Cricetulus griseus: one gene and its partner. The protein of the gene in region 2 interacts with the protein of the main gene of each other region in a biochemical or structural test. Links are inferred from orthologs where the notes say so. Each region holds a gene or a part of one and is shown on either strand. Other genes may lie near its edges.

Region 1 (4,112 bases), about 15 Mb from region 2:
GATTAACACTGGTCCCAGAGGGACAGGTAATACTGTTGTGAGGGTATGAAAATAACTTTTATTCATCCTTAACCTTTTACTAGGATGATGTGGAAAACTTTCTTAGTTTTCTAATGCTTTCTGTGTTAATGATCCTTGCTAGAGGAGACATGCACCTGGCAGAGCAGTCTTTGTGTTAAACCATTCACACTGCCAGTGATGGAGTGCTTGCCTGCTGTGCAAAGGGTCAGTCCTCAGCCCTGTTAAAATCCATACATGCACAAAAATATATATCATCACCACCATCATCATTACCACTACCGCCATCATCATCATAATTTCTCAGAGTTAAAGAGAATCAAGAAGCCCAAGTTCAAGGCACACCAGAGTCAGTGTCTGGTGAGGGCCTATGTCCTGGTTCATAGATAATACTTTTCACAATATTTTCATATGGTGGAAGAGGGAGGAGACCTTCTGGGCCATTTTATCATAGCATCAACACACTCATGAGAGCTTTTTACTAAATAGCCCAGTCAGTCACCAAAGGCCCACCACCTCATGCCATTAAACTTTGATTCTCTGTGAATTTGATCAGTATAATGGAACTAAAATAACTTTGTTGAGTCCTATTGTTTAGCCTGCACCAGTGTGTCCATTTTTCATTGGTGCTAATGTGAGTTGAGTTTCTGATTTCTTTCTTAAACTCAGACAAAAATCAACTGAACAAAAAGATCCCTGAAGGTTTTAAAGAGGTTTTGTCTGCTCTCTGCCAGGGTATGAACTTAACTATTTCTGTATTTCACAAGACCAACCAGCTTCTTTTTGGCATCCCTTTAGCTATGGATAATAATTTATATTGTGTTAGTTTTCCTATAAAGGGGGATGTGTAATGTATTATCTTGAAAACATACCAGTAGAAAAGAGTCATGCATTTGTGTAAATCAGATATCAACCTCTAGATAAACTAGATCCTTAGACTCAATGTTTTTATTCCTTTTTTCATCCTTAATATCTCTGTTCTACCTTATCATAATTTATTGTCCCACATGCAAGATAAAATACAACAGAGTTGTGCCCATGCTGTCTCAGATGTGGTTGGGGTTGATATAGAGTGACATTTTGTTTAACTTTACTCTTATCCTTGTTATGGAATTATACCATACTTGTTGGGACAGCTTGTAACTTTCATGCCCCCAACTGTATTCCCCATAGCTGTGTCTGTTTACGATTATGTCTGGCTGGTCTGAACTTGTCCTTTTGTGTTGCAGGAGCTATGCCTGTCCCAGACCAGCCTCCTTCAGCTTCAGAGAAGACCAGCTCCTTGAGTCCAGGCTTAAACACCTCCAATGGGGACGGCTCTGAGACAGAGACCACCTCTGCCATCCTTGCCTCCGTCAAAGAACAGGTAGAAGCATTTCATTTGTGTCTTATTAATGGGTGTATGTGAAAATTGCTTCTTTGGGTGAACATCGATGGTTACATTGTTTGAGAATAATATCATGTTAGTATTTATTAGATAAATAATACTAAAATATGGTTAAAATTGTTTTTGACTTCATGCTATTACTTAGACAGCTTTGTGATCTAGGCAGCTTTTCTTAAAAACATAGTCCAACATATTCCATATGGAGAAGAACACTTTCATGGAGTTGAATTTTTGGACTATATGTTAATATTTATTGTTATTGCTGGTTTCAGGTTCAAATAGTTGGTATACGGAAATGGTGTCTAATAAACTGTCAACAATTATATGCAAAGCTAAAATTTAAGACTATGTTGATAATAATTAAGCATCTCAGGAGGTGAAAGGAAAACACCCTTCCTGGTGTTTTTTTTTTTTATGGCTATTCATTTTTTTTGGCGGGGAAGTTTTTTTGGTGGATCACACTGTATATTAAAGATTGTGTGGAAATATAAATACTTGAGAGTTTAAGGAAAATCAGTAGAAATCATCATATAAAACATGTTAATTACAATACAGGAAAAATTCTACAACTTTCCCTGTCAAAGTCATCAAAATCTGATTGACTTCTCAGATATGACATCACTATAAAAATAGATTACTTTAAAAAAATTTAAGTTGAAGATTTAAAAAGTTCCACAAAAGCTATGTTTCTTGTAAATCAAGGATGGCAAATGATTACAGAAATTTGGATGGAGACTCATAGTTTTTTTTTTTGAGCATATTCTAGGGAATAAAGCAGGATTCTTCATTTAAAAAATGTAATTGACATGTAACTTTGGCATTTGTTTAGAAAATGCAGTATTATAACTTGAAACCTAACCTATATAATCTGTAGATGGGGTAATAAGCATTTCTACTAGTGAAATAAATTCAGGCTGCTTTCTTCTAGTTATTTTGAAGTAAACAGTAAATTTTTGCAGATTTTCATTGTGCTGTGATGCCGTAGAACATGAGACAGATTCTTCTGTTCGATTATATTTTGTTGCCCGGAGCTCTATCTCTCTGCTCCTTCACACCCTAGTTTCTTCAGGCCTCATTCAGCTTTCCATTGAGTTTGAGTTGTTTTATTCCATGATGCTGGTTTAGCAAAAGCATTGTGGGAAAGCCACAATGTGTGGGCATTGGCGGCACACGTCTTTAATCCCAGCACTCAGGAGGCAGAGGCAGGCGGATCGCCGTGAGTTCGAGGCCAGCCCGCTCTCCAGAGCGAGTGCCAGGATAGGCTCCAAAGCTACACAGAGAAACCATGTCTCGAAAAACCAAACCAAACCAAACCAAACAAAAAAAGCATTGTGGGAAAGTGACACAAGTAACAGCAGAAACATTGTGGCAGAGCACAGCTCAAAGGTGGGGCGACTATGAATATTCACTGCTCCATAAACAAAATGAAAGGTTGCAGAGGAAGCGGATAAGGTTTAGGAAAGGGGGCCGCTGAATGGATAAGTATAGGATGCCTCCTACATGTCAGTCTATCAGTGAGGCCAAAGGAGATGCCATTGGCAAGAAAGATCAATGATACTGTCAGATGTGCCCCTCCCCCAGCCCCACTTCAGGAACTATGCGGTTGAATAGGTCTACAGGGAGAGCTGAGTCGATTGATTTGATATAATAGAATGGGAAAATGTTAGGTAGGAGCTGTTCCATGAGTTTGCTAGTGAAAATCCCACTCTTGAGTTTTCTGATCATTCTAAGGAAGAGCAGGAGCAGGGGTTCATGCCAGTCCAGGAACTCAAGGTACTTCCTCACCATAGTTGAGCTAGCCTAGTGTCTTTGGATTTGATCTGGAAGTCTTTGTGAGACACCGACTTTAGTTGGGTGATAAAATATAAAATGCAAGGTGAAAATTTAAAAGAGCAAGATATGTCTAATGACAAATACAGTGTTTTATTGTGGGACTCAGTCGTGTAGCTTACAATGTATGAAAAGGCATGCCACTCAAGGTCCTGTGTAGAGAAATTTCAGGTTATCACCTCATTGCCATCTCTGAAAGGGATAAGTAAAGCTAAACAGTTGTGTAGTTGTCATTTTGAGATAGTCTCCTGTAACCCAGTCTGAGATTGAACTCATTATTTAACTAAAGAAATTGACTTTGAATTTCTGATTCCCCTGCCTCTGCTTTACAAGGGCTACAGTTACAAGTGTGTACAAACATGCTTGGTGTATGAGTTTCTGAGGATTCAATCCAGGGTTTCTTGAAGGCTACAGAAGCACTCTACTGAGTCACATACCCTGCCCAAGTTTAGGCAGTTGTAACCTGAGTCACCCGTCTGCCAGTGCCATCTACTCGTAGACCAACAGTAACTTTTAAGATCTTATGGATGTACGAGTATTTGAAGGTTCAAAGAAGGATAGAATCGTCTTCACCAAACATAGTTACCACAGCAGTATAAAGTGGATGGAACTAGAAAGACTTAATCTCTGTAGGACATAACGAAGGGCTTAGCATAGATTCAGATGTGAGCCTGGTCCTAATTCCTCTCCAGTTAGTATTTCAGTTTCTTAGAGAGGGACATTTAAATGATGCCTGTGTGAATCAACATCTTAAATAAAATTAAAGTTACTGCCTTGCAATATATAGAAAAACATGCCCAAGGGAATACTATAGCCATAAACATGAAAAAATAAGCATATTTGAAACAGTATGGAAAGATAGTTGATATAAGGCAAT
Region 2 (4,237 bases):
TGATGACACACACAGTGCAGACTCTGCTGAAGCACCTCCCCTCAGACTATTTGTTATGAACTGCGGTGTTTTGAATACACAAAGCTTCCTGCTTGTCTAGAAATGTAATGGTTCAATTATAGAAAGCAGACAAAAATTTCCTACAATCATTTCTTAGAATATAGGCATCCAATTAATTTATCTTTGGATTGCATTCTACTAGAATGTTCGATCTTAAAACCTGTTTACATTGCTAAATTGAGTTTTATACTAATCATTAAATGAATAGGGACTTGGAATTAGGGCAGAATTTCTAACAGCTTCTGAAATGGTTCTAAACTTACTTCTGCCATCTTATACATTTTTTGTTTTGTTTTTTAAAGTCAGGGTCCCACTATATAGCTTTGACTGGCTTAGAACTCACTATGTAGACTAAGCTGGTCCCAAGCTCACAGAAATCCACCTGCCTCTGCTTCCCCAGTGCTGGGATTAAAGGTGTGGATCACCTTGCCTGCCTGGTGTGAAGCAGCATTCTCAGCTGATGATTATAAAATATCTGTCAACTTTGGAAAATTCTGAGGACACCCATGTCCTGAAATAGCAGATTTTCACCCAAAATTTAGTAATAATAATAATAATTTGGTAAAATAATTTAGTAAAAAATAAACCAGCATCTCATCATGTCAATTTGCTCTCATCTTTAATAAATGATAAAATTACATGTATACCGAAGAAGTGTTTTAAATCAATTTCTTTATGCGTTCTTATCAGCACATGTTTAGTTGGTTTGTCTAACTTATACACTTACATATCCAAGGTTGTGTAACAGTTTCTCAGGCTAAAAGGAGTTGCAAATGGAAAACGTTTAAAAAGTTTTATTGACTGGAAACAAAATGCTTTTCTGTAAAGAGGGGAGATGCAGCAGCCTTTTCTGAAATCATGACTTTTGAGGAACTGGCCAGCAAAGCTAGCCTCCCCGACACACACCCTGTTCCTGGGACCTCCACCAGGTGGTGTTGGCTACAGGAACTCCATTTTGAGATAAACTGTCAAAGAAGGAATGCCGCAGCCTGGCATTCCTGCCTCTTTCCGGTTTCTCTTGTGCTGGTCTGAATGAGGCGACTGGGGGTAATCAGAGGGCTGGTAATTGTGGCGATTATTTACCGTGTGCTCCAGGGCAGCTCCTGGGAGTGGGCAGATTTCCAACCCTGGCTTGACATGGGCTGGCCTCTCCTAGGCTCTAATTACCCATTCCAGTGGCAGTAATGGTACTGGGAACTGCAGCCTTCTCTGACTTCCTCCATTGTAATTAATTGCTTCGAATTCCAAAAGATTTGTCCGTTGCAAAGCTCATTTACTTTCAGGCGCTGCCGGATGTCCCGGCAGAGACTGATAGCTTGAAGACGCGGATGAAGTGGAACCGTGCAAGATTCCAATATAAACCTAGGAGCTGGGAGGGTGTGTGCCTGTCTGTGCAAGTCCCAGGAGGAGGCACAGGGCTGCAAGTGAGCTTGTTTGTGCTGACATTCCTTCATTTAACCTCAGGAGCTCTCTCTATCCCTACCTCAACTCTCTGGGAGCACCAAGTTGGAGCCCTCTAGAGCCAGGTGAAATGTGTTTTGTTTCAGCAGAAGTTCTTAATGGTTTGAGGTTTGGCACAGCAGTGCTTTTACGTTTCAACAAGTGTTAGGAATGGAAACTCAGAATAAAATACAATTGGAGTTTTGAAAAGCAATGGAATGACGGGGTGGAGGCTCCCCTCAGCCTTCTCTCCTACTTAAAGAAAAGCAAACATTGTTTTCCGAAGCCGTTCTTACATTCTCATTAATTTAACACAGGAAGCCTTCGGTGGGTGTGACATAAACAAGTTGGGCTCCTGGGTCGGGCTTCCTCATCAGTTTGCAGCTGGAGAGATGGCTGCGCCGCCCAAGCCCATACGGGCCTCTCTCGGGGATGACTTGTTGACTGAGCCCGGAGAAGGTGGGAGGGGCAGGCGAGCGGAGAAGGTATAAAGGAAATGCTTTAGCTGTGCAGTCACTGGCGATTGTAATTCAGGGGTGGTGAGTTTGGTTATTCCAGCAGAAGGAATCTGACTTGGAGTTTCTGGAAAGTTCCCTGACATCCCGCCTGGTAGGATAGTTGTGATTTTAGTTGGGGGCTCCCCCGCCCCAACAAGAAGCCAGGCTTCTGCTGATGGTGAAGCATAGTGGTCATGAAATGATGTTTGGAGGTGTGTAGCTTCTTTAGAGTATAGGAGCGCTGCGGCCAGGTTAGGGGTATCTGGGTGCCGGGGGAGTAGGGGAGTGTTTTTTTCCCAGTTCACCGCAGGAAGCTCCCGTGCACTAGATGTAAACAAAAGTGTCTGAAAGAGAAACCCCAAACTCCACGCAACCCTCGGGGCAGTTTCCTTTTCCCTGCAGAGAGGAGGGTGAAGGGGAAAGGACTCTGAAATGCCATGGAGTTTTGACAAGTGAGGAGTCAGACTAGGATTGCGTTACAGCCTTTTTATAACCCCCTCCGCCCGCCGAGCCAGGGAGAGGTCCTCCCCACACATTCGTAGCCCGCCGGGAGGAGCGTTGGCGACATCCTGCAGGAGCAAAGCCTCGAGACCACGGGGACAGCCCGGGGGACCTGGGGAAGGTAGCGTCCCCGCGAAGCCTGCCTCGCCCCTCCCTGCCCGGTGCCCGGGGCTGCCAGCAGGTGCTGGGGCTAATGACGGGTCTCTGGAGCTTGCTCAGCTGAGCCCCATCGGATTACACGGAGGCCAGCTGGCTGCCCCCAAGGTTCCTGGATCTGCTGAGGAAAGAGGTCTGAGAGAAAACTTCCAGAAGTGACTTGGAAACTGGAGGTAAGAATCTAACGGGGAGAAAGCCCAGGCCTTGCGATCTGATCCAGATTGAGGTGCACAGTGAGGCTGGATTCGTCAATGTGGGAATTTATCCACAGCCTCCCAGAATGAGTGGCCACCTGTCTGGATTGTGACTTTGTATTGGGGGTTTGCTTGCCTGGATGGTTTGTGTTCATTGGGAGGAGCGATTTGGAACTGGTTTGTCAATAACGACGATGTAAGGAGGGTGTGTGTGTGTGGTCAGTGTGGTGTGTGTGTTGCAGTTGAAACAGTCTAGGGGTCAGTCCTACTGTCCTTGGACCTTTCTCCTGGCTTTTGGTTAGCTTCTAATTACCTTTGGTAGAGCAAAGCTGTTCCCTCTCCCAGAGGGAACTGTGTGGATGTTTCCACACACAAGGCTGTCATCTTCTCTGGGGGACAGATCTTTGCCCCAAATTACTAAGCAGTGTGCTTGGACAATAGCCCTGTTCAATGATGTGCAGACTGTTGTGATTGGACTACCCAGAAGTTAAAAGATTTTTTTTTTGGGGGGGGGATCCTTGGAAAGAGGATAGCACTTTATTGCTGTTGTTTTGGGTATTTGTCTGCCTTTATTGAGACAGTGCCTCCCTCTGTATATAGCCCAGGCTGGCTTCAGACTAGTAGAGATTCCTGTACCAAAGCCTCTGATGCTGGATTATAGATAGTATAGTAGTGACTATTTATGGCTGAAGATGTCAGGTTTTTAATTGCGTAGTCCTGTTGAAGTACCCAGTTTAGAAGCACTAAGAGTGAAGTGACTTCGAGTGATGAGCAAAGGAGGGGGAAACTGTCATCTTCAGAGAGAAGGTTCTTTTTAAAAAGGTTTGTTTATGTCTTTTATGTATATGAGTGCTCTGTCTTTATGCACACTGGAAGAGGGAATCCGATCCCATCACAGGTGGTTGTGAACCACTATTTGGTTGCTTGGTATTGAACTAAAGCGCAACCAATGATCTTAACCACTGAGCCATCTCCCCAGCCCCAGAGAGACTGTTTCTAAGAATATAAACATTTTCTTTGCACAAAATGGATCAAGTTGAATATGATAGGGAACATAATTTATAAAATTCAGTGCTGTAACTGTTTATAATTCTAAACTCACGATGTAGGTGAATTGTAAAGTTAAGATGCAAGATTCTCAGATCTGCCGTCATACCTACACTGGCTCTCGGATCAGCTGTGGGACATTGGGGTGACATTCAGTAGAAGGGGGCTCTGTTGGGTTGTATAGAAATGAATTAGCCAGGTGGTGGTGATACATGCCTTTAATCACCATGCAGGAGACAGAGATCTCTGAGTTGAAGCCAGCCTAACCTATAGAGTAAGTTCCAGCACAGCCAGGGCTATACAGAAAACCCATCTTATGCTCCCCCAGCTCCCCACAAAAGT

The links. The genes of interacting proteins can lie anywhere in the genome.
Region 1: the proteins of Pdzd2 (region 2) and Ctnnd2 form a complex in vitro, tested with the Homo sapiens proteins (2 studies listed by BioGRID and IntAct, with this or other methods). The link is inferred for Cricetulus griseus from reciprocal best matches to the Homo sapiens genes PDZD2 and CTNND2.

The regions. Positions count from the first base shown.
Region 1 is NC_048595.1:360,552,710-360,556,821, forward strand, and holds the start of Ctnnd2 (catenin delta-2), read left to right. Parts: upstream 1-1,252; coding exon 1,253-1,384; intron 1,385-4,112. UniProt on the Homo sapiens protein: Has a critical role in neuronal development, particularly in the formation and/or maintenance of dendritic spines and synapses. Involved in the regulation of Wnt signaling.
Region 2 is NC_048595.1:345,575,784-345,580,020, reverse strand, and holds the start of Pdzd2 (PDZ domain-containing protein 2), read left to right. Parts: upstream 1-1,323; 5' UTR 1,324-2,827; intron 2,828-4,237.